Linked DNA regions of Rattus norvegicus. The protein of the gene in region 1 purifies or fractionates together with the protein of each later gene. This does not show direct contact. Links are inferred from orthologs where the notes say so. Each region holds a gene or a part of one and is shown in the gene's direction. Other genes may lie near its edges.

Region 1 (3,500 bases):
ACAAGTTTGAGGTTGTTGACATTTCAGTGTGCCCTGTGAGTGAGGGGTAGACGTCACATGAGCGTGTGGGAGCCACAGAAAACATTTTGTAAAATGTATACCATAAAGCATCGAATGAGTAAGAAAGGAGTGGAGGGAGCTCAGGCTGGGTTTGAACTCACATCTTCCTCAGCCTCCTGGGCACTAGGATTACAGGTGTGTGCAGTCGCAAGTGTTGTCAGGTCCACTGGTAGTAGATATTGGGGCACCAAGGAAAGGTGGTTTCTGAAGTTGCTTGTAGAAGATTTCATTGGAATCCATGCGTCACCACTGAAGTGAAGTGATGTAGGGTCAGGATGGTTGGTGTGCTCTGCCCCCGAGTAGACTGTGCCTATCCTGAAAGTCTCTGTGTGCTATGAGGCAGGATTCGGTTACCTCTTAGGTGATATTTGCACTTAGAGGCAGACAGGGTAGTACCCTCCTTGCCCGGGATTAGCCATAACTGTCCCAGCACATGTCTGCGCCTGGCTGTCTCACCTTTGGAGCCACTTCTCATCATAATACTGGAATCCTGCATTAATCCTGCAGTGCATGTGGTGCTCACCCATTTCTTCACGGTCAGGACCACGCCATACACTCTCCAAAGACACCACTCTCCATGGAGCCACAATGTGAGACAGAAGTAGTTTGGCATTTTAAAAGCAGAAATCATGAAGCTAATCTTAATAATTTAAACCACCCTGCACAGTTAAAGCATCATTTCTTCAGATTACATAGAATTCCATCTTGTGGTGGGCCAGAAATCACAGTTGATGAAAACAGCAAGTCCTTCCCCCTCAGCTAGACATTTAGATTCTCTTCAGGTACCTGTTGTGGTGATTCGGGTGAGCACACAGACCTGAGTACCTCTCAGGTTCATTTCTGAGAGATGGAGTCACTGGGTCATAAGAAATATCTACTTAATATGGCTTCCTACAGCATATAGATCCATTTGCCCTCCAGTGGGGCCATACCCACAGGACAGAAAAGCACCTCTAAAGCTCTGTACACAGAGTAGGTCTACTGGGAATGGTGGCAGCACTGGGCAGCACAGGTGACTGCAGCTGAACCCAAGGAGAATCCAGGTCCACAGCACAGCACCTGCCTCCTCAGACCTCAGGTATGAAACTTGAGGTGAGGCAATCACAAAGCAGTCGATCTTAACCAGAGTCTTGGGAAGACAGGAGTACAATCTCACTGTCTCATAGGTGAAGAGTGCTGTGTAGAGGCAGAGCAGGGATGGCGGATGCTGAGATGTGCCATGTTTTTGTTGAGCTGGCTGGCAGAGCATGAGACCAAGCCTCAGGGTGGTTCTGTAGAGAACACGTAAGCGGGGTCCTGCAGCAGCCCCGGACAAGCAGCTGCAGGCAAAGGGAAGACTTTGTCTAACAAGCTCCTGCGATGACCTGAGCTTCATTTTCACAGCAGCCTTCCCTTCTAAAATGAGTATGGATGTGCACCGGGCAGCTTCTGCGGGGTACCAGCATACCAGAGACAGACAGGCAGGCAGACAGACATCGTCAGAACAGCTGGGATGTGAACCTGAAGCAGTCAGGAGGGCATGGGGGAATGCATGGGCCTGTGCCCTGTGGCCGCCATTGTCTGGAGAGTTTGACTTTTTTTGGTGGCAGTATTCTATCCTGTGTCCTCATTAGCTGTACCTAACCCATGTTCCTTGTCCTCTTTCTGGTTCCCCACTTCCCTGAAGGACGAAGAGGCAGTAAAGAAGCTGGCGGTGAAGCCTGGCACTAAGTCGAAGCTGCCGAAGCCGGTGCAGGAGCTCGTCGGGATGATCTTCGACGTGGAGAGCATGAAGAAGGCCTTGGTGGAGTACGAGGTGCGTATTGAGGCCATGCTCTCTGCTCGTTTTTTTGCACTGAGCCTGGCGAGTTCAACTGTGTTACTTTCCCTTTCTAAAACTCAAGTGGCCACAAATGTCCACCCAGCTCAGCGCCCGCTTGCCCCCTTAACCCTGTGGTGGGATGCGTGGTGGACTGTAGAGGACTCTCCTGGGCCCCGGGCCCCTATTGCCTGTTGCCATTTTGATTTCTGTGTTAGGTAGGTCTGGTTCTTTCTTTGCGACGCTGACAGACCAGCTAGCTGATGCCAGTGGAAGTCCCAACCTCCACTCACTTGTAGACAAAGAAAACTGGGCTGGAGAGACTGCTCAGTAGATAAGAGCCATAGCTCTGTAACGTCAGCTCCAAGAGAATCCCTCTTTTGGCTTCCACAGGCACTGGTACCCAAGTGATACAGGCATATAAGTAGCAAAGAAGTCATAGACATAAAATAATAAAAAAATTAAACTGTAAAGAAAACTCCTGTGACCACTACTGTCTTGATCCATGCTCCAGTCAATCAGCCAAACTCCAGTCAGCTCTCTTAAACCCTGGGGCTGGGTGCAGCTGTGTTAAGAGGTCTTGCTCATCTCACACACGTGGGGTGAGATGATGCCAGTTGGAACCACGTTGCTCCCAAGTGGGCCTACATGGCATGGACAACAGGCTGTCAAGAATAGGCTTTCTCACTTCACCTGTAATCTTCCTAGCAAGGAGGCGACCTGTGTACTTGGGCCAGCCACACAGCCTCCTATTCTCTGGCCACGAGTCCATAAGCTACAGGCTGCTCTGCAAATCAGGCAGCTCTGGTGGATGTGCCCAGTGCTGCAGTCTTAGGGCAGTAATGTACTGGCACACAGGTGTGTCTCCTCAAGCACTGAGAGACAGTGCAGGCCGGCTCACTTACAGGAGGGAGTAGATGTCACTTGAGAACAGTTGGTCCAGTTTACAAGTGTGGATCTGTCCGCTCTTCATCACTGTAACACAATGATCTCTGCCTTCACAGCCCAGTACCCTGATTAACAGTGGATCCTGAAGTAGTGTGGTTAGTCACAGTGGTGTTAAGTGTGCGTAGCCTTTAGGGTGGCTGATTTGAAAGGCTCATGTGTATTTTTGAAAAATAACATTCATTAGAACTTTGAGGCTCTTGTTTCTGAACTGGATGGCAGCAAAGGTCATAAGAACACACACACACACACACACACACACACACACACCCTCTGTTCCTTGCCCTAGAGTACAGTGGGAGGTTTAGTCCATCACCTCGGTCCTGTGGGATTGTAGGAGTTATGTTGGGTCTTCCTTCAGAAGTGCTGAGCTGTATGCATTGGGCTTGTGTTACACAGCATACAGGGTGGGGTAAGAGGGTGACACCTTCTGTGCAAGCAGGCCACTGCTCCTGTGAGGGAACAGTGGTGCGTCACCACAATGCAGAATGCATTTAGGTTCCCTGTCTCCTCAGATTGACCTTCAGAAGATGCCCTTGGGGAAACTGAGCAGAAGGCAGATCCAGGCCGCCTACTCTATCCTCAGTGAGGTCCAGCAGGTAAGCAAGTACCTCCGGTCCTCCAGCCGTTAGCTTCTCTTCTAGTAAGAAACAGTAGCAACATCTACTGTGTGGGAAGAGTGACAGACAGTACTAAA
Region 2 (3,946 bases), on another chromosome or scaffold:
TGGTATTTGTTTTTCTCTGTATTTCAATGGGAGGAAAAGGGCACCTTTCCTACTTCTAAGCAATGATTTGCTAAAGTTTTTTATAAGAAATACGTGACCAAATTTTACAGGCAAGAATCTTACCATCTAGTTATCTATTCTTGGAATTGTATCTGCATTCTGGACACTCCTTAAGTAGTCATTAGCCAGGTGAATTTTGTGCTTGCTAAAAGATAGATGACAGATTCTATAACTGAGGCTGGAATGCTTAGTTATATCATAGGTTCTTTAAAGAATTCTCTAACTTTATGTATTTGGCAATTTCCAGAAAAGTACCTTCTTCTTGAGGAAACTCAGGTATTTTATGTGACTTAAGTATTGTAATATTTAAACAAATCAGTTGAAATCAACACAAATTAATTGGCAGTTTACTAACCATTTGAAGATATAACATCTGTCGTGTTCTCATGGTTCTGTGAAAAAAGTCAGGGCATAAATTAATGCCAATATTCATGTTAAGTTCTATAATAGAAAAATACATAAAATACAAGAGAAGTAGTTTGGGTGACTATTTCTGTGTAGTGCAGTAAACATCATCGGGCATTTTATAAGCTGTGAAAGAGGAAGACTTTTAAAGGTAGGAGGATACACAGACTTATCAGGAGCTCTTTGGAGCATTGAGTACTTTGGTGTAACTTTGGTATTAATGTGGAAGGCTGGTTGCCAAGGATAAATAAGAGGGACTTCTTTATTTAGAGTTCAGAGACCTAAAGCCTTTGTTTTCCTAAGGAGTTTGCCTTTATTGAATAGACTGGAAAACTAAAATTTGGCTTCGAGTTTAGGAGGACCATGATCCATTTCTTTCAGTGTATTTAAGGCTGGTTACATAATAGTACATAGGAAATTCCCAGACTGTTCAGTATACAAAATGACAGGATTTAGTGTGACAATATGGAGGGCTAGAGAAGGTAGTAATAGTATCTCTATGTCTCTGACCAGTAAGTGGCTAAGGCATGGAAACTGAAGTGGCACATTGCAAAATTCAGCAGAGGTAGGGGTTCATATAACCACACAGAGATGAAAACAGGGGTTTTGTTAGGGAAGAACTTTCAGATGATTCTAGATTGGTCAGGAAAGGAAATGACATCAGGAACTGTATAAAGGAAAGAAGATGAGGAAGTGGCCAGAGGTCTCCATAACTAAAGAACAGGTGTGGGAATGCGAACTGATGAGAAGGGCCAGCGCTTGTGGTCTGAGAATGCGATTGTGACTTGTTTTAGATGACAGTGCCAAGTGGCACTTTATTGCTGAGAGGAAGTAAAGTGATTTGAATTTGGGAGTTCAGAAGTTGAAAATAAAGGGCAGTTTTATGTTTTTTAGACTCATTTCAGCCTAGAATCTGCAGTGGGAGGGCCCCAAAATGCATACTTTTAAGAAGCTATGTACTTGTTTCTAATAAATGGATATTGGAGCATGATTTAAGGACATCTGAGAAGCTGGGCTGTTCGTTCTCAAGGACAGTTAAGTTGGTTTGTGGGGCTGTCAGCAGATAGCATGAAGAGGATGATATGTAGTGAAATGGTGAAGTTAAGCACAGCCAGTGGTAGAGTCTCAAAGAAAGCCAAATTGGTACGATAGAATGGCTCTCTCTGATCTGCAGATGGCATTGTGAGAAAATGAGCAGTGTCTGTTTTGAGTAGGCTGTGGGAGGGATATGCATTGATATTCCTGTGTGGTATCACTAAACTTTTACACACCACAAAGGCAGAGTATAAAAGCTGGTAGGAAGAATAGAATAGTGGCAGCCATGTTATCTAAAGCCAGAATAAACTGAAACACATTTAGTAGAAATGCTGTTTAGCCAGTTACATAGAAAATTCTTTGGCCTTGAAACAGATTCATTGTTCTCTTACACATTGGTGGGGAAAGCAGGCTTCTATTCAGAGGTCATAAGTGCTACATTTACTTTTAACTATCAGAATCTTAGGTTAAAAAGATAATTGCCAGCCCTGAGAGACTTAAGGAACTGAATGAAACAGGATCCATGTCTCTCCTCTCTTAGATTTACTTACTATGTGGTTGGCCAATTCTTTAGTGATCATGTGCAGGATGTTACGCAGGTTCTACGTGGAATGATGTGCCTCTTGAAGTAGGCAACCCACAGGAAGGAATACTATATGACAACAGCTAAAGGGCGGGTGGTGTTTTTGATTTTCTGGACAGGAGGTAGCTTGAGTAAAAGTTGCCATAAAGGTAGTAAAATAAATAACAGCACCCATGAGTTAATGTGCTAATGGCACCTGTGTAGGAAGGCAGTGATGCTGACTCAGTATTAAGAATGGGCTACTGACATTTTGTTGCTGCTTTGACTGGGTTCATACAGAACTTGATTATTTTACTCAAAACATGTTTTGTAGTAAAATTGTAAGAAACAAGAGATACTCTTTAATTATTTTTAAGTGTACACTCAGTAGAGCTAATTTTATTGACAGTGTTGGAAGCCATCCTTACTATGTATTTCTGGAAATATTTCATATTCCGGACAGAAACTATGTACTTTTGAGGCAGGAGCTCCCTGTTCGCTCTTCATTTTGGTCTCTGATGACCCTTAAGTTGATCTCTGAAGTTCTCCATTCATTCAGGACTAAATACAGTATTTTTCCCTTTATGTCTGGTTCATTTGACTTTAGCAACATGTTTCCGTGTTACATTTATAGTGGACAAACTTCATTCTTTTGTTCTGAATACTGCAATACTGTGTTTTCTCTATCCATTCATCTGCAAAGAGACATGCGTGTTCATCTTTTGACTGTAATTCTGTTATTGACTTTGGCGTATGAAAGTCTGAGTCCTAGTATTCTTTTGTTTTATATAGATCTAGCAGTAGAATTGCTGGGGTGTATAGTAATTATAGATCCACATGAGTGACATCATATTACACTTATACTAGCACTCACTAAAGGTCTAACTTTACTGCATCCTTAGCCACATGTATTTTTACTTTGCTGTAGGTCTGAGTTACATTTTCCTAATGACTAAGACTGAATACCTTTTCATGTGTTCATTGATCATTTTCTTATAAAGAATGAGTTATCAAGCCTGTTTCTTATTTATTTTTGTTTTTTCCATTGAGGTGTAGGAATTAAGTAGTCTGAAAATTAAGTCTTTATTTTCAAAAATCTCCATTTCTATAAGTTGTCAATTTTTTCTTTACATTTTGATAAGGTCAAATTTATATATTCCTTTGTTCTCTATACTATTGGTGTTATGTGTCCCAATGGTGTTACGTGTTCCAATGCTTAAAGAATTTGCGTTCTATTGGCTTCTAACATTTTAAGGATTGGATTATGATAATTAGGTCATTGATCTGCTTTGATTAATTTTTATATATTGTGTGAAGTGTGGCTTGACTTGGTTGCATGTCTAAATCGGGTTGTCTCAGTGTTGAGACATACTCTTTTTCTATTGAATGGGCTTGATACACTTTCCCAAAGATCATTTGGCTATGTAATATGTTTATGCATTTGTTGAAAAGATTTATTTACGTATTTTATGTGAATGTGCTTATATAAGTTTATGTATATCACATACATATAACAGCCTATGGAGGCCAAAAGAGGGCATTAGATTTCATATAACTGACAGTATAGGTTGATGTGAGCTGTTGTGTGGGTGCTGAGACTGCTCCCCGCCCCCAAACCAGGGACCGCTGCAAGAAACAGTAAGTGCTCTTAACTGCTGAGCCATCTGTTTTCGTGATTCATAATTGTATTTTATTGATGTATTTATCTTATAATTCCATACCACAGTATCTTAGTATTGTTCTGTAGTGTTGGGATGTGGCAACGTTGAACTTTGCTCTTATTTTTAAAGATTCTTTGAGCTAATTTGATGTGAATTTAAGGACTAGCTTTTCTTTTTATGCAAAAAGACTGGTAAGATTTTAGTAGGAATTTATTCAGTCTGT
Region 3 (4,051 bases), on another chromosome or scaffold:
CAACTATGAAGATACATATTTTCATTTCTTAAGATTGTTCAGTTTTCTGTTTCCATTTCCAGGTCTTTCTTTCAGTTTATAGTCTCTCTTCACTATTATTGCTGCTGTTGTCGTCGTCGTCGTCGTCGTCGTCGTCGTCGTCATCATCATCATCATCATCATCATCATCTTCCTGGTTTCGAACTCATCATCATCATCATCACCATCATCATCTTCTTCCTGGTTTCGAACTCATCATCATCATCATCATCATCATCATCATCATCATCATCATCATCTTCCTGGTTTCGAACTCAGAGATCTGCCTGCTTTTACCTCTTGAGTACCACCACGACAGGCTCCCAAATTTTTGTTTTTGTTTTTTTTTTTCGGAGCTGGGGACCGAACCCAGGGCCTTGCGGTTGCTAGGCAAGCGCTCTACCACTGAGCTAAATCCCCAACCCCCCAAATTTTTATTTTTCAGGGTCTCATTTAGTCCAGGCTGACCTGGAACTCAACGGTCTTGTTGAGGATGACCTTGAACTTCTGCTGCCTCCACTCCGAAAGGCTGGGATTACAGACGAGAGCCAGCAAGCCAGGCTCTCCAGTAGTTTTACATAGGCCATAGGCTTTTAGGAACATTATTACCCTCACTGGGATCCACCTGACAAATTTCCACACATACTTAACTCAGTTCAATCCGCATCTCCTCTCAAAGCCTCATTGACTTTTTTTTTTTTACCCTCACTCTGGAACTCCACCACATGTGTGGCCCATATCGCGTGTACCAACCATGAGGCTGGGCTCCACGCTGCCACAAATCTCAGGTGGAACTACGATCTTCTAAGGGCGGAGATTGAGTCTGATTTACCTTGTTTATCCCACAGTGCCAAGCTCTGGGCCTGGCACGGACGCCGGGCACGCACTGCGTGAATGAAGGATCGAGGTCACTGCTTTGACTATATTTAGCAGCAGTTACCAGGGAAGAAATCCGACTGTCCACTGGGTTGCTATTCTGTGTATCCGCCAAACGAATAGGCATGCAAACTTCCGACAGCTGGCTTGGGACCAACTCAGGGACAACGCGCAGACACAGGCGTACCGCGAAACATTGCCCCGCCCTCAGGTCCCGCCATCCCGCCACTAGGCCTCGAACCCGGCCTCGGGCGGGTCACGTGCTCCGCCCGCCGCGCGGTAGCCAATGAGGTGGCTGTCGGCATCTAGGCCCGCCCCTCGCACCGCGCGCACGTTGGGGGCGGAGCTGCACGCACAGTTCCTTTAGCCAATCGTTGAGCAGCCCGCGGGACCCCGGCAAAGAAGCTGGGGCGGTGCAGGAGCGCGAGCGCGGGAGTTAGCGGTGCAGCCATGGTGGGACACCTGAGCGAGGGGGCCATTGCGGTAAGGAGACATTCAGGAGTGGGGTCGATGGCCCTAGCAGTGCGGGTTTGGAGTGATGCAAAGAGGACAGGGGGAGGGAGCCGCTGTTGATCGGGAGAGCATCAGGGAGGAAATTATGCGACCGCAGGGGATGCCGCCCCGGGTCTCTAAAGACTTCCGCAGGAGGCATCCTGATCCTAGCAGACGAGCTTACTTTTTTTCTACCTAAGAAAACAAGACAAATAAACATGCCTCTGTCTACCATCGGTGGCCTCCTTTTCCTCCCTTTCTCCGTCACCTCCAAACTTTTCTGGACTTGTTTGTTTTCGGCTGTTTGACTTCTTTACCTCCTCGTAACTCTTCACTGCTACTAGGCATTTCTCTAGTCACGAGAGAAAACGCTGGCCGAAGTCACCAGTGGCCTCCCAGTAGCCAAATCGGAAGACAATTTAGCCGACCTAATTGTTTGGGCTTGTTGGCTGCTGCTTCTTTCTGCTAACACTCCTCTCTTGCTTGAGTTCTGTGATTCACGTTGACTGCTCTTTCCTTGTCTCACTTGCAAACTTCTCTGAATTTTTGTTGACCCAAGGCCCTCTGAAGACTAGCTTATAGTCAGTCCCTCACCTGCATGTCTGTGTCTCATAATTTCTTCCTGCAGAGCTGCCTTCGATCTGCCCTCTATCCTCAGTCATTTTCAGTTGAACATATATCAGAGCAAACCCTAAGGCTGTATTTTAAAAATAATGTGTATGTGTGTATGTATTATGTATACTTGAGTACGTATGCATGCCGTGGTGGGGATGGTGCATATGTGTTGGATGCCAGAGGACAACTTTGGGAAGTTGCTTCTCTCCCCACTTTTCTGTGTATTCTGTGGATTGAACTCAGGTAGCTGGGCTTACACAGCAGGCACCTTTACCCACAGTATCATTGTGCCTGACTCTGGATGCCTAGTCGGTCACCAATTGAAGTATATTTTAACTCCACACTTAACTTTCCATCCACACTGGAATAGTCATTTGTTGCCTGAACTAGTCAGTTTCAGTCAGTACACTCTCTTCCCACAGTCTCCTTGCCAGGCCTTGTTAATCTTCTAAAACAAAATGTATTCTTGCTCTAGAGGCCATTGATCCTTGTTTCAATTTATTTTGCTACCAGCGTTCCTGTTTCAGCTCAGGTGTTACTGAGTTGGTTGGTGAACCACACATTTTGAGACAACTCCTTTTTGTTCACTTAGGTATGGCTTTGGGCAACATTCCAAACTTTTTCCCTTGTCTGAAAAATGAGGTTAAAGCCGAGCAAGGGGGCTAGGTGGAGGACTGAGGTCCTAAATTTTGTGTTCAGTAGCTGCTAGTGCAGCTGGTAATCACAGATGTAATTGTTTATTTGGTAAATATTAGCTACTTTGTATCTCCTGTGGGAGATTGTAAAGACTGAGCCCTGCAGCTGCTTTCAGTCCCTTTAGGTGAGATCCCTAATATCTAGCAAGTGTTAGGCACCCAAATAGTGTTTGCTAGTTGTATGAGTGAGTAAAGCAATGGAAAGCAGGGGACAGAAGTAGAAGGGAGAAAAGAACCGGCTTAGAAGAAGAAAGAGGGAAACACTTGTCAGAATCAAAGGATATTTGAGTAGGGTAGGGCTGTAGAAATGCTGAAACTTGGGATGTGATGCCTGAATTGTCCTGATTAACATAGCTGCCACCGTAAGACAACTACAAATAATTCCTTTATAAAGAATGTTTATAGGGTTATTTGAATAATGTGCTGAGTTTTCTTTAAAATATATGTGTGTGTATATATTATATATTTTTATTTATTTATTTATTTTTAGAAAGAAAGCTATTTCCAACATTGGTTGAAGTAGATAAAGCTGAGGGTTTTTTTTTTTTTTCCTTCCTTTCTTTACATGTTTTGTTCATAAATAAAATGGGGGTTTTTGTTTTGTTTTTTCTTTTTTTTTTTTTTTTTTTTTAAAGACTATCCTAGCTGTCCTGGAACTTGCTATGTAGACCAGCATGGTGTTGAACTCAAGAGATCCACCTGCCTTTGCCTCCCGCTAACGATGTTCCACCATGCAGGGATCCATAGTGTATTGTTTTGTTTTACATGTGTTGTTGGTGATGGAGTGTAGAGACCCCTGGTTACCTGATGATTAGATAACAAAAGTGTCAGCACAAAAGCTTCAGGCCCCTATGGTTAGACAAACAGTGGAAAATGAAAGACCCAAAGTTTTAAACTGTAACTGTTGTGATAAGTAGAAGTACAAGGCTCTAATTACTGGCTGTTCCCAGGAGTTTGAGATCAAACCCAGCACCACAGATGTGTATGCTAGGCAAGCACTCTACCGCTAAACTATATCTCTGGCTATCCCATCCTGTTTATCTTACATAATTCAGCTATCAAAAGAAAAAGACAAGGAAATTAATATTCTTGACTTCTGATGTCAGTTCTTATTTTTTATAAACATCAGATTTTACAGTCAAATATGTTAAGGTGCAAAGATGGGGCAAGGTGCCCATGGCAGACAGGGTTTCTCTGTGTAGCCCCAGCTGTCCTGGAACTCCCCTTGTAGACTAGGCTAGCCTGGAACGCAGATCAACCTGCCTCTGCCTCTGGAGTGCTGGCATTAAAGGGAAGCACCACTACCAGCTCCTCGTACACATGAAGAAATTCACTTATGTGTTTTATGTATATGG
Region 4 (4,214 bases), on another chromosome or scaffold:
AAAGATAAGAAAAGAAAGAGAAAGAAAGAAAGAAGGAAAGAAGGAAGGAAAGAAAGGACACCCCTGACAGAGGTGAAGTCAGCTATCTAATTTTAAAAGCAGGACCTTAATCGAGTCGAGCAAATATTCTTTAACTCTGCATGTGACAATTAAAATTAGGGATTGGTGGCTGCAACCACCACTGGTAAAATACCTTTTCCTGACCCATCTCCCCGAGTCAGCCAAGTGAGCCCCAGCCAGCAGCAGAGTTGATTCTGTGGAAATCCCAGCAGAGCTGCAGAGGGGAAAGGTCTAGACAAAGGCCCTCACTGAGCAGCTCCTTCATGGTGGACTGTGGTGGTTCACAGAGTTACGGCGATATGTCTTTAAGATAGGAAATTGAGTCATTTAAAAAAGAAGCTGGCCGTACAGCCCTGGCCCTGCCTCAGTGGTTGCGCAGGCTTCCTGCCAGTACCTGTACATAAGGGCCTATTGTTTACTTGCGTTAATTACAGCGCAGGATGAAAGAAGGCAATAGGGCAACTTTCGCTGTTACCATTGTTTGGGAAGAGACACGAGCTCACAATAATAGACTGGAGACAGCCAATTCACCCCAACTGCACCAGTTTTGACAAGTGCCAAATCGTGGAGGACAACAATGAGGCCATTTCCAAGAGAAGACCCAACTTCAGCCTATTGTAATGATTCAGAAAAAAAATAATGCTCTCGAAGGATACTAAATTAGTTTTGAAAATTTTAAGAGGTTATCCACAGGTCCTCTCAGCAACACACTCGAGTTTCTCAAACAATACAGTAAAAATTGCAGTCCCTGGAAAACGTCCCCACTTCTGGTTCTGTAGACACTGACCCAGTGGGTCCGGGTAAGATGGGATTTCTAGGAATCACACTGATGAACAGGGCCGTGGAGCTGAATCATTTATTCTAGTTAGATGTCAGCAGTCACTCCTGGGGACTCCATGGCCTCCTGGGGTGGGGAGGAAAGGTGGCTGGGCTCCGAGATCCCTGTCCGGATTCTAGAGGCACGGCAGGAAGAGGAGCGGGACACTCCCGCGAACAGTGAAGTGTAGTGGGGTCCAGTGGTGGTTTAGGGGTGTGGCGGCCGAAGCCCCGGTGACTACAGTCTCGAACCTGCGCCAACAGTGGCCGCGCTCCACCCGGCCCGCAGCGACGGACCGCACTCGATCCCATTAGTTTCCACTGGAGCGGGGTCGGGACGCCACGCCCCGGCCCGGCCCCTCCCGGCGGCGCACGCGCAGAGCGACTCGGGCCGGCGGGGACTACTTTCCGCGGCCCGCCCGCGCCCCGCCCCTCGTCCTCGCGCGGCGGAACGCTCCGCGCGGAGCGGCGGCGGCAGGATACACGGTGCCGCGCCGCTTATAAATCGCTCCTTGTGCGGCGCCATCTTAAGCCCTCGCTCGGTGGCGGCCGCGTCAGCTAGTGTTCTGTGCAGCCCGCGGCCCGGGGAGGCGGAGACGGAGCACGGTGGGAGCCGAGCCGTCAGTGCAGGAGGCCGAGGCCGAGCGGGCGGCCGCGAGGGAGTAGCGCGCGGCCCCAAGGTACGGCGCGGCGGCGGGCCGACTCGCGCCGCGCCAGCGGGAAACTTCGCGGGCCGGGTGGCGGCGGGAGGCCGCGGGGACGCGCGGGCTGGGGCCGGGGCCGGGCGGGCGCGCGCCGGGAGCCCGGATGGACGGGTGGCCGCCGTGGGGGGTGGGGACCGCGGTTCGTGTCCCGGCTGGGGCCGCGGCGGGGGCGGGGTGGGCGGGGGCCCCTCCTCCGTGGCCCGCAGAGCCGGGGGACGCGGGACCTGGCACGCGTCCCCTCTGTCCCTCGTGGAGCACGCACAGATAGGTCTTTTTTTCCCCCCCTGCAACGATCTGACTGTGAGTTTGAATCCAAACAACTTTAAACCGTGGAGTCGCCAAACTTGGATGCGGCGTGCGGGATGCGTCGGGAGCGTGTTCTCGGAGGGTGGTGGCGTCCTGGACTCGCGTGGGGTCGGTGGCTGTGGGGCCGAGAGGTGCTGGCGGGAATTCGGGACCGTGGACGAGTCACCGGCCACTCCTGGGGGGAGGGTGTGCGCGGGACCCGAAGCCTGAGTTTGGGGGAGGGGGACTTGCCCTTAGCCAGTAAGTGTGGGGTCCGCCTCAAGTGTTTCTCCCCGGCGCGTTTGCTTTCTGGGCGAGATGGAGTGGCCAGAGCGCTGACCGCCAGGGCGTGGGAGCCTGGAGACTTGTTCTGAGTGTTGTTTGGGGGACCGGACTTGGAACCGACGCTCCAAGTTCGGTGCCCCAGGCCCGCTCCCGTGAGCCCGCTGGCTGCGGGGCAGCTTTGTCTCGGGCTCGGGTCTCCAGACATCTGTGGGCTCCCCTCCCCCGCGCCCCCCGCACCCCCCCCGCCCCCGGGCCTGAGCTCTGAATGGAGAGCGACTGGGCTGCTGGTATGCGGAGGTCGGCGAGAGGAAATCGAGGAGTGGTTTTAGTGAAACGAGAGCTTTGTGCCATGAATAATGGTGGCTTAGACCAGACAGCAAGCTGAAGAGACGGCAGCGTTGCCTTTGATAAAGTCTGCCTCATGTTTTTCACATGGCCAAGTTGTGAAGCATTTTGTCTGGGATTTAGGAAGCCATTTCTCTATTTACTTGAGGCTTGCAGACGTCTCGGTGCAGACTCCTCGTCCCGGGAAAGAGCTTGCCCTCTTGGTTCTGATTTAATGCTGCTTAAACTTGTAGCCTTTGCATTTCGATTTTGTATGTCGGGCTCAAACTTTACTTGAGTTAAGGTCTTCTGTTACATTTAGTTCATTTTCACCTTAAACATTCAGAAATCCCCCAATTAAAAAGAAGTACCTCAAGGTTTGTTTGAGGACGTCCTTTCTCAGCAGAAAACATTGATGACAGTGCTGGGGATAGTCATTCTGTGACCTAACCTTTGTCCTGAAGGCCGAGTCTGGACAAGGCCTTTAGCGGTGGCAGGGAAGTTGGAAACTTGTAGATCTTTCTCTACAACTAACCCTCCCAGGCTGAAGTCCTTGAGGAAGCAGGCTATCTGGGAAGCTTAGCTTGCCTGGGACAGAGTCCTGGGCCTCACGGTCTGCAAGAAGACCAACCTCAAGTCCAAGAAATAGAGTTCACCTGTCATCTGGTCATTTCTAGTAGATAGTCTAGAGCAGCGGTTCTCAGCCTTCCTGATGCTGCGACCCATTAACAGCTTCTCAATTGTTACAGTAACCCCAACCCCAAAATTACGTGCTTGCTGCTCCATAACTTGCTACTGTTAAGAACCATAATGCAAATGTCTATGTTTTCTGTGGTCTTAGGTGACCCCTGTGAAAGGGTTGTTGGACCCCCAGATTGAGAACATTAGTTTAGAGACTGAATATTGGGTATCAGATGTCTACAACTCGAGGGGAAGTGTCTCCTGCTGTAGTGACGATGGGACTAGATTGGGAATGAAGCTTTAGCACTAGTTTCAGAATGCCATTGGCGGGGTGGGGTGGGGATGAGAAGACAACTTTCTTAGTATTTTGAAATGTGTGCTCAGAAAAACTGGTGGAGCCCTTTTGCAAATAAATGCAGAGCAGAGCATGGCCAAGAGGCCTGTGCACACTGCAGGTGGGGGTGCAGTGGTGGGCCTACCATAGTCTGCTGCCATACTTTTAAGCAGGAAGTGGACAGTGAAAGTAGATGGAGTCAGATGAAATGCTAGTGCTGAGGTGAGGTCAAGGTCTCTGCCCATCACCTAGTGGTAAATTTTTAGTGTCCTTGGTCACTGGCTTGGTCAGAAACATACCTGCGGGATAAACTCCTGGTAAACAAGTATTCACAAACTCGTTACAAACGTACATACGTTTTAACTCCACTTTTTGTTTGTTTTGTGGCTCCTGTCAACTTGTTTGCTATTTAAAACAATCTCACTGAAGACATCTTTATGCATAGAGAGAAAATAGCTGAGCAGCTGCCTCAGTTCTGAGGCCTGTGGAGGCAGCCTCTGTCCTGAGACATGGTCAGCCATGAGATGCTTCTGTTCAGTAACACCATTCACGGTGTGATTCCTAGATCAGCTAACAGGTTTTACAAAATGGAAAGTGATTTATGTCAATTGGAAGTGGATCAGAACTTCTTTACGCTCCGGAAAAAGGTCTTCATTTCTTGTTACCTAAGAAAGCTGCCTATGTATGTATTCATTGCAAGACCGGGCTTCCCTTGGCTGGGAACC
Region 5 (4,259 bases), on another chromosome or scaffold:
CTATTTGAGTACTTAGGGATGTAAAGTCACAGTACATAAAAAGTCCCCAGGTAAGAAGGCCCAAAGTTGAACTTGGGAAAGCTGGTAACAAGGCCATGGTGCTCTGTAGTCAGAGTCCAGCCCAGTTTTAGGTCCTGATTAGTGATTTACAAGCTAGAACACCAAATTCAAAATAAAGAAAGGCTTTGGTGTTTAGTCAGAATACCCAAATAAAACTGAAAATTCATGGTCTCCAGAGGGCTAATTAAGAACTACGTTTAAATTATTTTCATGTTTCAGAGCTGCCCACCTTGGTTTCAGAATGCTGCAGTTGAAAGGTATGACCCCAGGCATTTTTGTTTTCCCTTAAGGGAAGTCCTTAGCCGCCAGAGAGACTCACAGAAACACTTTCACAGAAAGCTGTTAGCTCCAACGGGATAAAGTTCTTCAGCGTCCTCTGTTAGTCACTCTTGGAAGATTGACATCTGAGGCTGTTGTCCCTTTAAACCCATTGCCACGCCTGGCAGAGAATGGCGGGGAGTATACCCAAAAAGGACTTGTTGAATGTAATTCCATTTACAGGCTGGGTGAAGTCAAGAGCTCTTCCGTCTGCCAAAGGCTTTGGTGTGGCACATTTTATTCTTAGAAAGCTTCCTCACGAGAAAAGTCTATCCTTAATGTGTACCTGAAAACCACTCTTGAAGTTCAAAAAACGATATATGTGCCCTCTTAGACGTGGTGGTGCTGGTGCAGTCCTTGACAGGTGAGAACCGACAGGGACCCTTCTGCACTGTTGGGAGGAAAGCTCAGTAGCCCGGGAAGGGAGCCCTGACCTGCTCGCGTTCCTTCCCAGGAACGTTCCCTGGGCAATGTTTAAGTTCCCTAAGTGGTGACACTGAAGACTGCCTGCAGCGTTTGGGGGGCGGGCAGATGAAGGACAAGGAGTCTGGCGGACGCTCTGCGCAGCAGCAACCTGGGACCTGAGGTGGGGTAGGGGATCCGGCTGCTCCTAACGGCAAACGGTCCCATCTGCAGTTCACTCCCCGGCCCAGTCTCTGGGGACGCCTAAGGCTTCCTGCCTCCCTGCCCCCACCCTCCCCCTCCTCTCCAGCCTCCCCGACTTCCCGGCAGGTCTGCAAGACCACTGCCCGGAGGTTTCCACAGCCCTCGTCCCAGGACTCCCGGCTCCTTTGGATGCCCGGGAATGACCCATGACAGCCGCCCGCTCTCCCTTTGGACGGAAACCCCATTCACTCTGCCTCTCTCTTACACACACACACACTCTCACACACAAACAAAAAACCCAAGTCTGCCTCTCGGTTGCTACCCGCAATGACGTTTTCCCCTCGGATCCCGCCCCTCTGGGGGCCTGAAATTTTGGGATTGGTCGAAGGACTGTAGCGACAAGACCGTGATTGGACGGTCCATGGCTGACTGACAGCCGGTGGCCGCCGCACCCTCCCCCTCTCCGAGCGCGCCTGTGTGTGCGGTGTTATGCCGGACTAAAGGGAGGCCACCACAGCGGCTGTTTATTGTCCCTCTCGGCCAGTGCTCCTAAGGACCCGGTCAGACACCGCTTGAGCGGCTTTAAGGCAGTGGCGGCCTTTGAGGCGGCGGCGACCGCGTCGAGGACTCTGCGGATTCGGTTGCGTGAGGAGAAGCAGTGACTCCTTCGTGTCAGGGCTCTGACTCGCGTCTCCTAGCCGGCCCGCGCCGGCCCGCGCCGACCCTCGCCCCTCATTCGCGATCCCGATCGCCTGCGTGAGCCCCGGAAGACCGCGTCTCACTGCTAGCCCTTCCTCGCCCTCGGCCGCGCTCTAGGCCCGGGCGCCGCGCTCGAGTTTGAGGGCGGCGGGCGGCGCGGCCTCCTCAGCGGCTCGGGCCCGCGATGGGGCGCGGCTAGGAGTGCGGCGCGCAGCGGTCAGTGCGAGCCGCGTCCCCGGTGCGCGAGCAGCCCCTGGCCTGCACGGGAGGCGCTGCCATGGCCAAGTCCAGCCTCGCGGGCGTTGACGGGGCGCTGACCTGGGTGGTGAGTGCTGCGCGGGCGGACGCATTGTTCGTGGGCCGCGGGCTGTGCGGGCGGGGGCTGAGAGCGCGGCGCGGCGGGCGCCCTGTCGGGCTGCAGGCAGGGCCTATCCCTGAGTGCCTTTTTCTCTCTGCTTTCCGCCTCTACGAGGTTCAGGCTGCGGAAGAATGCTCACCTGAAACTTCAGGGTGTACACCAGGACGTAGGGGACCGCGATAACGCGAGCCTCCACGAGCGCAGCGCCAGAAAATATTGCAGAACTTATGCCAAATGCAACCGCTTCCGGCGGCCTGTCCCAAAGGAACGTGAACTTGAATGGCCACTGCGGTTTGCGCCTCCCCTTTAAAGGCTCATTCCGCAGAGAGGGTATTTGGGATGACTTTGACAGCAGGTTAGAGACCGCAGCTGGTCCATCTGCCCGCGGGATTAAAGGGAAGAGCTTACTTACGTCAGCCTCCCGGGTACATCGCGTGGGGACTCAGGGGTTTCCCCAGGAGGTGAGGGAGGGGGTGCTTAAGCCGGAACTTGGAGGATCGCAGAGCCTAGTTCCCAGTGGGAAGTGGAAGTAGCGAGGCAGCAGGAGCAATTGGAGCAGGGTTCCCACGACAGATCGATAACTCCAGCACTTCACTTACTCCGCACTGAGTTCAGACCAGGGTCATTTCCCATGCAAAACATCAGACTTAGCAGATGAGACCAGCAGCTAGGACAGAAAATTTACACATTTCAGGGACTTTAACACACCCCTTCCAGAGGATCCCAAATCCCTCGCCTCTGAACACGCTAAGGAAGTTGGTATTGCTTGGCATTTTTGTTCCTTGGTTTCTTTGTTCGGTTGAGGTTTAGATGAGTCTGGATTAACAGTCATTTCTTATAAAAAGGATGTTTTTATAAACAGCAGGAAAACTGTTTAACCATTTGCAGGGCCGTGGCAAGATACTTTGCAGTGTAACTTGCCAGGTTCTTATCTTCGAATCTCCAGAAATAAGTAGTTCTTTCTAGGCAGTGCAGTAGGAGAGCGTGGAGAAGAAAAGTTAGATAGTAAGTTAGTGCGCGTGTGTCCTTGGAAAGAATGATTGAAATGGCTGACCCTTACCTGGTACTAAAACTAAACGTCTGAAGATGGACTGCGATCATATGCCAGTGTCACTGGTGATTGTGGAAGCACTGACATCCGAGCTGCTGCCTTCTGGTGTGTAGGGTACATGCAGACAAAGCACTCATACACATAAATAAGTCTTAAAAAGAAAGCAGTTGCTATCGTGGAACCAAGTCACAGACAAGCTGCTCAGATGTCAGTGCCACCATATTTGTGCTGGGAGTTGAACTCAGGACCTTTAGAAGAGCAGTGAATGCTCTTAACCACTGAGCTATCTCTCTAGTTCCCCTCTCAGCCCTTTTGTTTTTACATTATTATTTTATGCGTATGGGTGTTTTGCCTGCTCGTATGTCTGTGCACCACTTGAGCGCCTGGTGCCTAGACCAGGCCAGAAGAGGGCATCTATACCTTGGAACTGCAGCCACCCAGATCCTCTGGAAGTGAAGCTAGTGCAGCTGGGCCACCTCTCAAATTCTGTCACCATGGCAAACATTTTGTGAGACAGTTGGATTGTTTTTTTTTTTTTTTTTTTTTTTCTTTTTTTCGGAGCGGGGGACCGAACCCAGGGCCTTGCGCTTGCTAGGCAAGCGCTCTACCACTGAGCTAAATCCCCAACCCGGATTGTTTGTTTTTAAGTCATGGTAGCAATGCTTTAATTTAATGGGCACCTTTCCTTTTAAGGTCAATGGAAAACTTTAATTTACATACAAAATGGGGCAAAACTTGTAGAGTTTCATTCCAAATTAGAAAAAAAAATCTATGTGAAACTACAATAGGCACATTAATTTTGCTATGAACTAGATTATGGGAATTACAGTAAAATAAAATATATCTTGTTTGAATTAGGTTATTGAGAAGAAATCCTCTTTCAGGTTTGCTGCTTGCTTTCTGTTCCTAATGCCAGCATCTTCCTGTCTGTAATAAACCTTACAGGTTGCTTGTGCATGTGTTTTTGAGAGAGGAGAGAGTGTATATGTACATTCATCTACCTGGGCTTTGAACTCATGATCCTCCTTCCTTAGCTTTGTGAATGCTGAGATTGGGAGCCAGCACACGGGGCCTGGTTGGTCTTCTTTACTGGAAGATGATAGCATGAGTTGATGTGGGCTTTGGCATAGGTTCATATACCCCCTGCAGTACATAATGCAGGCGAGA
Region 6 (3,500 bases), on another chromosome or scaffold:
ATATGGTGTGCCTGGACCCAGACATGGAGAAGGCCCCCGAGGGCAAGTGGAGCTGCCCACACTGTGTGAGTGCCTGGCTACTGTGGCCTCTGGGTCCCCCTAAGGGCAAAGGTGGGAATAAAAATGGGAGTGTCCTTGGCTGTCTGACTGGGGGTGGGGTGGGGTGGTAATAATCTGAATCTCTGGTTTTTTATTTCAGGAGAAGGAGGGTATCCAGTGGGAAGCTAAGGAGGACAATTCTGAGGGTGAAGAGATTCTGGAAGAAGTTGGGGGAGACCCAGAAGAGGAAGATGACCACCATATGGAATTCTGTCGAGTCTGCAAGGATGGCGGGGAACTACTATGCTGTGACACCTGCCCTTCTTCCTACCATATCCACTGTCTGAACCCCCCGCTGCCAGAGATCCCAAATGGCGAATGGCTCTGTCCCCGCTGTACTGTAAGTGACTCTTCACTGAGGGTGGGAGAGGGGAGCAGTGCCATTTACTAGCACAAGGGTCTGCTCTCTGGTAGGCATTATGAGGCCTAGGTTGGGGAGAGGTCTTTGGAGACATAGAGATTTTCTAGCTGAGACAGGAGAAAGTGCTTAGTCTTGGGCCATCATCTGCCGCGTAAATGCGGTTAACTGAAGAGAAGAACGGTCTCCTCTTAAGCAGGTGAAGCAGTAGAGTCGTAGTCATTCTGTCATTCTGATTGCTGCTGCGATTTTTGGTGTTTTGAACTGATGTCCAGGCTATCCTTAAACTCACTCTATGTATGTAGCTCAGGCTGGCCTTGAGTTTACGGTGATCCTCTTGTCTTGGTGTCCTGCGTGATTAAAGGCAGGAGTATCACACATGATCTTGTCTTTAAAAACTTGTAATTTGGGGGTTGGAGAGATGGCTCAGTGGTTAAGAACAGTTCTGTTTTTGTGTTTGATGTTACAAGACAGAGCCTTTCTGTGAGTCCCAGACTGTCCTGGAACTCGCTATGTATGTAGACCAGGCTGGCCTTGAACGCAGGAAGATCCGCCTGCCTGCTGCACTAAGGATGTCCCCTTCCCATTAGGCCTGTGCTCTTCTTTTTTTTTTTTTTTTTTCCTTTTTCTTTTTTTCGGAGCTGGGGACCGAACCCAGGGCCTTGCACTTCCTAGGCAAGCGCTCTACCACTGAGCTAAATCCCCAACCCCGGCCTGTGCTCTTCTTTAGTTGTCTTGTGTTACTTTTATGTTCTCTGTACATATGTGGTTTTGCTTTATGATCTCCATTTTTATCAGCTTTCCTGTAAAGGAAAGCAGCTCCTTTATTCTTTATATCTGAAAAATTGTATTAAGACACCATGTTTTCTTCATTCTTTTGTTGATGTACACCTAGGTTGGTCCTGTAACTTAGCTCTTACACACAAATGCTGCAACAAACTCATTTGCAGCCCAGGCTGGCCTTGAACTCACTGTTGTACCTCATGTTCCCAAGAATGAGGAGCAAAGCTGAGGTTACCATGCCCAGCTTCACTTGAGCCTGGGTGTCTCACCTTAGCTCTCGGTAGCCATGGCTGCCCCAGAGCCAGCTTACTGCATTCAGCTTGCTCAAGAGAGGGAAGGGTTCAAGTCTCTCTCTCTGTGAATTGTGTGTGCCTAGCTATTCTGGTTTATTGTATAGCTTGCTTCTTGACTCTTTCTAGCTCTGTGACAATATCCAAAGAGGAGAGAAAGTTCTAGTGGTTTTTGCCTAGGGATGATTGTGAGGGTAGATTTTATTTGAGGTGAAGTATTTTATTTATTTTGTTTTCTGGAACTCACTTTGTAGTTTTTCCATCAGAGGCAGGGCAAGCAGTTCTTGGTGAGTGTAAGGTCAGTCTGGTCTATATATTGAATTCCAGGCCAGCCAGGGCTATTAGAGTGAGACTTACCTGAAAAGAAAAAAAGTTCATTCGCGAGTATTGTATGTGTACATGTGTGTTCAGGGCTCCAGGCCTTGGTGTTGGGCCAGACAGCAGCAGTGTTGTACTCCGATACCCACCGTATCACCCTGGACAGATTCTCACTACACCTGGAGCTTAGCTGGCTGGCAGCCAGCAGCAAGCTCTAGTGATCCTTTAGTCTCCCTTCCCATGGCAGTAGGCCGTGTGTGTGTGTGTGTGTGTGTGTGTGTGTGTGTGTGTGTGTGTGTGTGTGTATGTGTGTGTGTGTGTGTGTGTGTGTGTGTGTGTGTGTGTGTGTGTGTGTGTGTGTGTGTATGCGCGCGCGCGCGCATTGGATCCCCTGGAACAATAATTCTTAGCTACAGTGGATGCCAGGTATCTAGTCTGGTTCCTTTGGGAGACCAGCCCTCTCTTCAGATGCTGGCCATTTGACCTCCTGCTGTCGTGTTTGCAGCAAGTGCTCTAACCACCTACCCATAGACACTGATATTTATTGTTCCTGGAGAGTTTTATGCATAGCCCTGTGGTTTGAGTTGAGATTAAGTGGTTTCTATTTAACAGTGTCCAGCTCTTAAGGGCAAAGTGCAGAAGATCCTAATTTGGAAGTGGGGCCAGCCACCATCTCCTACACCAGTGCCTCGGCCTCCAGATGCTGATCCTAATACTCCATCTCCCAAACCCTTGGAGGGGCGGCCAGAGAGGCAGTTCTTTGTGAAATGGCAAGGCATGTCTTACTGGCACTGCTCCTGGGTGTCAGAATTGCAGGTAAGCCTGGGACAAGTTGCATGTATGAGGTGACAGTGCAGAGGTAAGAGCAGGAGGCCGGATGCAGCTCCAGGGTGGCCGCCTTTCTCTTTCTGCTCCCAGTTGGAGCTGCACTGTCAGGTGATGTTCAGAAACTACCAGCGGAAGAATGATATGGATGAGCCGCCTTCTGGGGACTTCGGTGGAGATGAGGAGAAGAGCCGAAAGCGAAAGAACAAGGACCCTAAGTTTGCAGAGATGGAGGAGCGCTTCTATCGCTATGGAATAAAACCGGAGTGGATGATGATCCACCGGATCCTCAACCACAGGTATCCCATGGCTCCCTGGAGGCCATTGACCTACCAGACAGTGTTTCTAAAGGGGCTAAGAGGGGCTGGAGAGATGGCTCAGCGGTTAAGAGCACCCGACTGCTCTTCCAGAGGTCATGAGTTCAATTCCCAGCAACCACATGGTGGCTCACAACCATCTGTAAAGAGATCTGATGCCCTCTTCTGGTGTATCTGAAGACAGCTACAGTGTACTTATATATAATAAATAAATAAATCTTTAAAAAAAAAAATAAAGGGGCTAAGAGAATGGACCTTGCTGTTGACTTACATTCAAGAAACATTCCTCTGAGTACGGCCCACAGGGAGAGTACAGAGTAGAGAGAGTATTGGGTCAAAGATAGGCATCCTTGAGACTGAGTCTATGTGGAGCCTGGCGCATTTGGAATGGTTTTGTTGGTTTTTAAGAGCAAGGCTGACTAGAGAGGTGAGAGAAGTTGCTTTCTGGTTCTGAGGAGTTTTTCTTTATTGACATCATAGTGTGGACAAGAAGGGCCACGTTCACTATTT
Region 7 (4,187 bases), on another chromosome or scaffold:
CACCTAGTGTCGTCACAGAGTGGCTAATAAAGACTTCCTTTTGGTAGATACGCCTCAGCAAAGGCTCCTGACACTCAGCTGGTACACAGTATACATGCCAGCGAAACATCTATAGAATAAAATGTAATAAAAATTTAATATGGGGGTTGGGGATTTAGCTCAGTGGTAGAGCGCTTGCCTAGCAAGCGCAAGGCCCTGGGTTCGGTCCCCAGCTCCGAAAAAAAAAAAAAAAGAAAAGAAAAGAAAAAAAAATTTAATATTTCAGTTAACAAAACCAAACCCAACAAAAAGCCAGGTGGTATGGCACCTATCTGTAAGCTGAACAATCAACTGGGAGGTGAATGCCAGCCTAGGTTACAAACTCTGCCTCCACTGGTCTCCTCTCTCACCCCCGCCTCCCGCCCCAATGGTATAAGCTGGTAATCCTAACTACTCAGAGGTTGAGGTAATGGAATTAAAAGTTCGAGGTTAGTTGGAGCACTTGAAACAAGACCGTTCCAAAGAAAAACCAGAAAGTTAGCAAAATGGCTGGGAACACAGGTCAGTTTTAACGCCCTTGACTAGTTCTGTGCAGACAGTTAGATTCGACTGTCAATCTTGCAAAACCCAGAAAGTTTCTGCTGTCCAGGCTGTGGTGAGGTACGCCTACAATGCCAGGAATTAGGAGGCCAAGGACAGCATTGGGTTCCAGGTCAGCCAGGGTTACATAGACTCCCTGTTTGCTAATTCATAAGGTTCAGTTTACTGCATATACGGAGATAATGGGAGTTGATTCCCCATGGGGGCACTTATGGACTCGAGAAAAGTTTTGAAGGGATGTCATGTCGTCTGTGTCCTGTCCCGTGCCCCACTCCCATCCCCCTTCCCAGTTTTGTTTTTTGGAACAATAGCAGATAACTTACAAAGGCCAGGGTATTTATACTTCCAGAACTGAGAACAAGGCCTTGCACATAGTTGGCACCGGCTGTCAAAATTACACGAGATGCTTAAGGTTTTGACCAGCGTACATCTATGGTGTCAATACATTCTTTGCAAATTTGGGGACATGCTTATAGTGACACGGTTTATCTGACATTCAAATGTAAGGAGCGTACTGGTTTTTATCCAGCAACCCCTACAAGATTTGCCGACTTAACTGACCGGATGATCTTCTCCCACCTGTACTATGGGGAAAAAACAATTCTACCTGCTTCCAAAGGAATAAATAAAGCCCCTGGTACCGGTGAACCCTCATTTTATACGCCCGCTCCAGCATAGCCCTGGTGGTCCTTTCACTCCGGCCCTCACCGGGTCAAATGCTCACAGCCCGGCTCTAGGTGGTCCGCACCTGCGCGCCCCGGCCAGCCTCTTCCGGGTCAGGTGACCGCGCGCGCCCACGTGACCCGGTCTGAGTGCGGGCGCTGGAAGGCGGAAGTGGAGCGGAGTTAGGCGCCGCTGGTGTGGCCGCGGCAGGTAGGTTGCGCGGGCACTGGGGGCTCGGCAGCGAGCGGGTGGCGCGGGACAGCCAGGGGCGGCGGGCGGCGCGAGGGGCCGGGGGCGGCGCGGGGCGGGCGCCGGGGGGCGGCGGCTTCCTGTGGGAGGGGCCTGGCGCGCGGTTCCGGCCTCCGAGGAGGGGTGTCCCGACTCGCGCCCGGGCGGGGTGGGCGCGGGGCCCGGCGGGAGTCGCCCGTTGCTGGCGTTTCCGGAAGGGGACCCCAGCCTGGGCGCCTGCGGTGTGGAGGAGCCGCGTCTGTGAAGGGGGGCCGACTTCGGCCGGGGAGACTCGCATGCTCCCCGGAAGGGGCTGCCTGGGAGTGGGCGTCTGGCTAGTAGAGACTGGAAGAAAAATCTGGACGTTGCGGCCTGGACCCCATTCTGAGAGTCTCTTCCTTCCGTCCTCTTTGAAGATGATGGCGACCCGAGACTTTGATACCGGTCCTGTTTAGTTTTTAAACTTCAGGAGGGATCCCTGAGTCTTGGTAGTCTGACTCTGGTCACACCCACTTTGCCCTGTTTGGGTAGGGTTTCCACTTGTTGGGAGCTTAGCCCTTCCTATCATCTTTCTTTGAGATGCTCCCAGATCGGGTCATCTTCGAGGCAAAAATAAAAAAAAAAAAATTAAAGACGTGTAGGTGCTTTGCTGTGATCATAACAAGACTTTTAACCTACACTGTTGTCAGCAGCGACATGGACCAGCGTTACCGCAGCAATGCATTGACTGCTGAAGTCTTGGACCGTTGAAAGTCTTCCCATATCGCTTTGATACGTTTCCTCTAAAGCTTAAATTATGCAGCTTCCTTTACTGTGTGACTGCTTATCTTGACCAGCTGTGACTAGGTGGGGTGACTGAGAAGTTTCTGTTGTGTTCCTTAGAACTGTGACCTAGATCTTAGTTTTTGAGGCTAAAATACCCATCTTAAGATTCTTAGTCCTCTAGGCTGAGTCCTGAAGATGGCCTCAAGTTCCAGGCCAGCCTGGGCTAACCAGTAAGACCTGAATAAACAAACATCCTCTTTCCCCTTCACATTTGCTAAGGTTTGCAGAAGTGAAATGAAGTTTATGAGTGCAACGAAGGTGTCAGGGTTCAAATGGTACAGTGACAAGAACCAGAATCAAAGGTCGCTGGGGGGAAAAACATTAATACATTAGGGGTTGAAGACTTGGGGATATATTACAAGCATTTAAAAGTTAATTTTTGTAGCAGTCTCGAGAAGTCATTCCCACTTCATAGATAACAAACTGAGAGAGTTGACTTAAAATAAAAGATGTAATTTTGGGGCTGGGAATTTAGCTCAGTGGTAGAGCGCTTACCTAGGAAGCGCAAGGCCCTGGGTTCGGTCCCCAGCTCCGAAAAAAAGAACCAAAAAAAAAAAAAAATGTAATTTTGTTTGTGTGTGTGTGTTCCTGTGTGTATGAGCTCACTGAGGCCAGATGAGAGCGTTGGGTCCCTTGGAGCTAGGGATATAGGTGGTTGTGAGCCTCTGGGTTTGCATGCTGGGAACTGAACTTTGGTCCTGTGGAAGAGCTATAGGTGCTCTTACCTGTATCTCGTTAGTCCCAACCTGACACTTCATTTTGTTTTTCTTCCTTGTTTATTGTCTTCTTCCTGCTAGGACTGTAAATCATTCAAGGGCTGTGATCCAATATTACATGACTTCTTTGGCTACTAGCTCTGTGTTAGGAGTACTTGGTCAGTGTTTGAGAAATAAATGAGGTTTTAAAGGTCACACTGCTTGCTGTATGTAGTGAACAAAGGGTTTGAACATAAGTTTTCTGTCACTTTCTCTGTTCAGTGTTATTGGTCTATGGGAAAACCATGAGGAAAAGGCTTCAATTGGCTTGTCTGTCTCTTTTACTTTTTTTTTTTTTTTTTTTTTTTTTTTTTTTGGTTTTTGTTGAACATTGTACCTTACCACTGAGCTCCATAGCCCTTCTTTTTTGTAATTTTTATTTTTTCCTTTTGAGACAGGATCTCAGTAAGTTGTCTGGTGTGATTTCAAATTCCCGTAGCTCAGGCAAGCCTTGATCTTGTGATCCTTTTGCCTTCGTCTCCACAGTAGTTGGGATTTGAGGCCTGTACCACTCAGGCCATATTAGTCTTTCACTTAATGACTATGTCTCCATCTGCAAAGAACTGATACCAGATTCTCATTTAATTTAATTTAATTTTATTTTTTTGGTTATTTATTTGAGACAAAGTTTTACTGTGTAGACCTGGCTGGCCTAGAACTCATGAAGATCCACCTGCTTCTGCCTCCCAAGTGCTGAAATTAAAACTGTACTATTAACTGTGCTCAACCAACCTCCCCTCCCCTTCCCCTCCCTCTCTCCCTCCCTTCCTTCCTTCCTTCCTTTCTCTTTTTTTTTTTCCCCTTTTCTTTTTTTCGGAGCTGGGGACCGAACCCAGGGTCTTGCACTTGCTAGGCAAGCGCTCTACCACTGAACTAAATCCCCAACCCCCCCTTTCTCTCTTTTGAGACAGGGTCAAACTGTGATTTTTTTGGCTTTTTGATAGAAGGTAAGTTATAGCTCAGGCTGGCCTCAAACTGGTTATGTTGCCGAGGAACTTAGGATAGATTCTCTTGTCTCTCCCTTTCAAGAGTTAGGGTCCAGGCCTTCACTCACCATTGCGCCTGGCCCAGTGTCTCATTCAATGCCAGCTCTATGAAGGTTGCATTGCTTCATTCGAGGATGAAGAAACTGAGGCT

Evidence for each region.
Region 2: the proteins of Parp1 (region 1) and Rnf146 purify together in Homo sapiens (affinity purification with mass spectrometry; 4 studies listed by BioGRID and IntAct, counting the BioPlex papers as one, with this or other methods). This does not show direct contact. The link is inferred for Rattus norvegicus from reciprocal best matches to the Homo sapiens genes PARP1 and RNF146.
Region 3: the proteins of Parp1 (region 1) and Rpa1 purify together in Homo sapiens (affinity purification with mass spectrometry; 3 studies listed by BioGRID, with this or other methods). This does not show direct contact. The link is inferred for Rattus norvegicus from reciprocal best matches to the Homo sapiens genes PARP1 and RPA1.
Region 4: the proteins of Parp1 (region 1) and Ctnnb1 purify together in Homo sapiens (affinity purification with mass spectrometry; 4 studies listed by BioGRID, with this or other methods). This does not show direct contact. The link is inferred for Rattus norvegicus from reciprocal best matches to the Homo sapiens genes PARP1 and CTNNB1.
Region 5: the proteins of Parp1 (region 1) and Top2b purify together in Homo sapiens (affinity purification with western blotting; 3 studies listed by BioGRID and IntAct, with this or other methods). This does not show direct contact. The link is inferred for Rattus norvegicus from reciprocal best matches to the Homo sapiens genes PARP1 and TOP2B.
Region 6: the proteins of Parp1 (region 1) and Chd4 purify together in Homo sapiens (affinity purification with mass spectrometry; 4 studies listed by BioGRID and IntAct, with this or other methods). This does not show direct contact. The link is inferred for Rattus norvegicus from reciprocal best matches to the Homo sapiens genes PARP1 and CHD4.
Region 7: the proteins of Parp1 (region 1) and Wwp2 purify together in Homo sapiens (affinity purification with western blotting; 3 studies listed by BioGRID, with this or other methods). This does not show direct contact. The link is inferred for Rattus norvegicus from reciprocal best matches to the Homo sapiens genes PARP1 and WWP2.

The regions. Positions count from the first base shown.
Region 1 is NC_086031.1:94,859,984-94,863,483, forward strand, and holds part of Parp1 (poly [ADP-ribose] polymerase 1), read left to right. Parts: intron 1-1,726; coding exon 1,727-1,855; intron 1,856-3,318; coding exon 3,319-3,402; intron 3,403-3,500. UniProt on the Homo sapiens protein: Poly-ADP-ribosyltransferase that mediates poly-ADP-ribosylation of proteins and plays a key role in DNA repair.
Region 2 is NC_086019.1:30,292,628-30,296,573, forward strand, and holds the start of Rnf146 (E3 ubiquitin-protein ligase RNF146), read left to right. Parts: upstream 1-1,146; 5' UTR 1,147-1,189; intron 1,190-3,946. UniProt on the Homo sapiens protein: E3 ubiquitin-protein ligase that specifically binds poly-ADP-ribosylated (PARsylated) proteins and mediates their ubiquitination and subsequent degradation. May regulate many important biological processes, such as cell survival and DNA damage response.
Region 3 is NC_086028.1:60,695,480-60,699,530, reverse strand, and holds the start of Rpa1 (replication protein A 70 kDa DNA-binding subunit), read left to right. Parts: upstream 1-1,251; 5' UTR 1,252-1,344; coding exon 1,345-1,377; intron 1,378-4,051. UniProt on the Homo sapiens protein: As part of the heterotrimeric replication protein A complex (RPA/RP-A), binds and stabilizes single-stranded DNA intermediates that form during DNA replication or upon DNA stress.
Region 4 is NC_086026.1:129,516,162-129,520,375, forward strand, and holds the start of Ctnnb1 (catenin beta-1), read left to right. Parts: upstream 1-1,414; 5' UTR 1,415-1,556; intron 1,557-1,751; exon of another isoform or gene 1,752-1,880; intron 1,881-4,214. UniProt on the Homo sapiens protein: Key downstream component of the canonical Wnt signaling pathway.
Region 5 is NC_086033.1:11,539,665-11,543,923, reverse strand, and holds the start of Top2b (DNA topoisomerase 2-beta), read left to right. Parts: upstream 1-1,459; 5' UTR 1,460-1,960; coding exon 1,961-2,008; intron 2,009-4,259. UniProt on the Homo sapiens protein: Key decatenating enzyme that alters DNA topology by binding to two double-stranded DNA molecules, generating a double-stranded break in one of the strands, passing the intact strand through the broken strand, and religating the broken strand.
Region 6 is NC_086022.1:159,591,318-159,594,817, forward strand, and holds part of Chd4 (chromodomain-helicase-DNA-binding protein 4), read left to right. Parts: coding exon 1-65; intron 66-199; coding exon 200-439; intron 440-1,057; exon of another isoform or gene 1,058-2,460; coding exon 2,461-2,664; exon of another isoform or gene 2,665-2,766; coding exon 2,767-2,972; exon of another isoform or gene 2,973-3,470; coding exon 3,471-3,500. UniProt on the Homo sapiens protein: ATP-dependent chromatin-remodeling factor that binds and distorts nucleosomal DNA. Acts as a component of the histone deacetylase NuRD complex which participates in the remodeling of chromatin.
Region 7 is NC_086037.1:52,255,176-52,259,362, forward strand, and holds the start of Wwp2 (NEDD4-like E3 ubiquitin-protein ligase WWP2), read left to right. Parts: upstream 1-1,387; 5' UTR 1,388-1,452; intron 1,453-4,187. UniProt on the Homo sapiens protein: E3 ubiquitin-protein ligase which accepts ubiquitin from an E2 ubiquitin-conjugating enzyme in the form of a thioester and then directly transfers the ubiquitin to targeted substrates.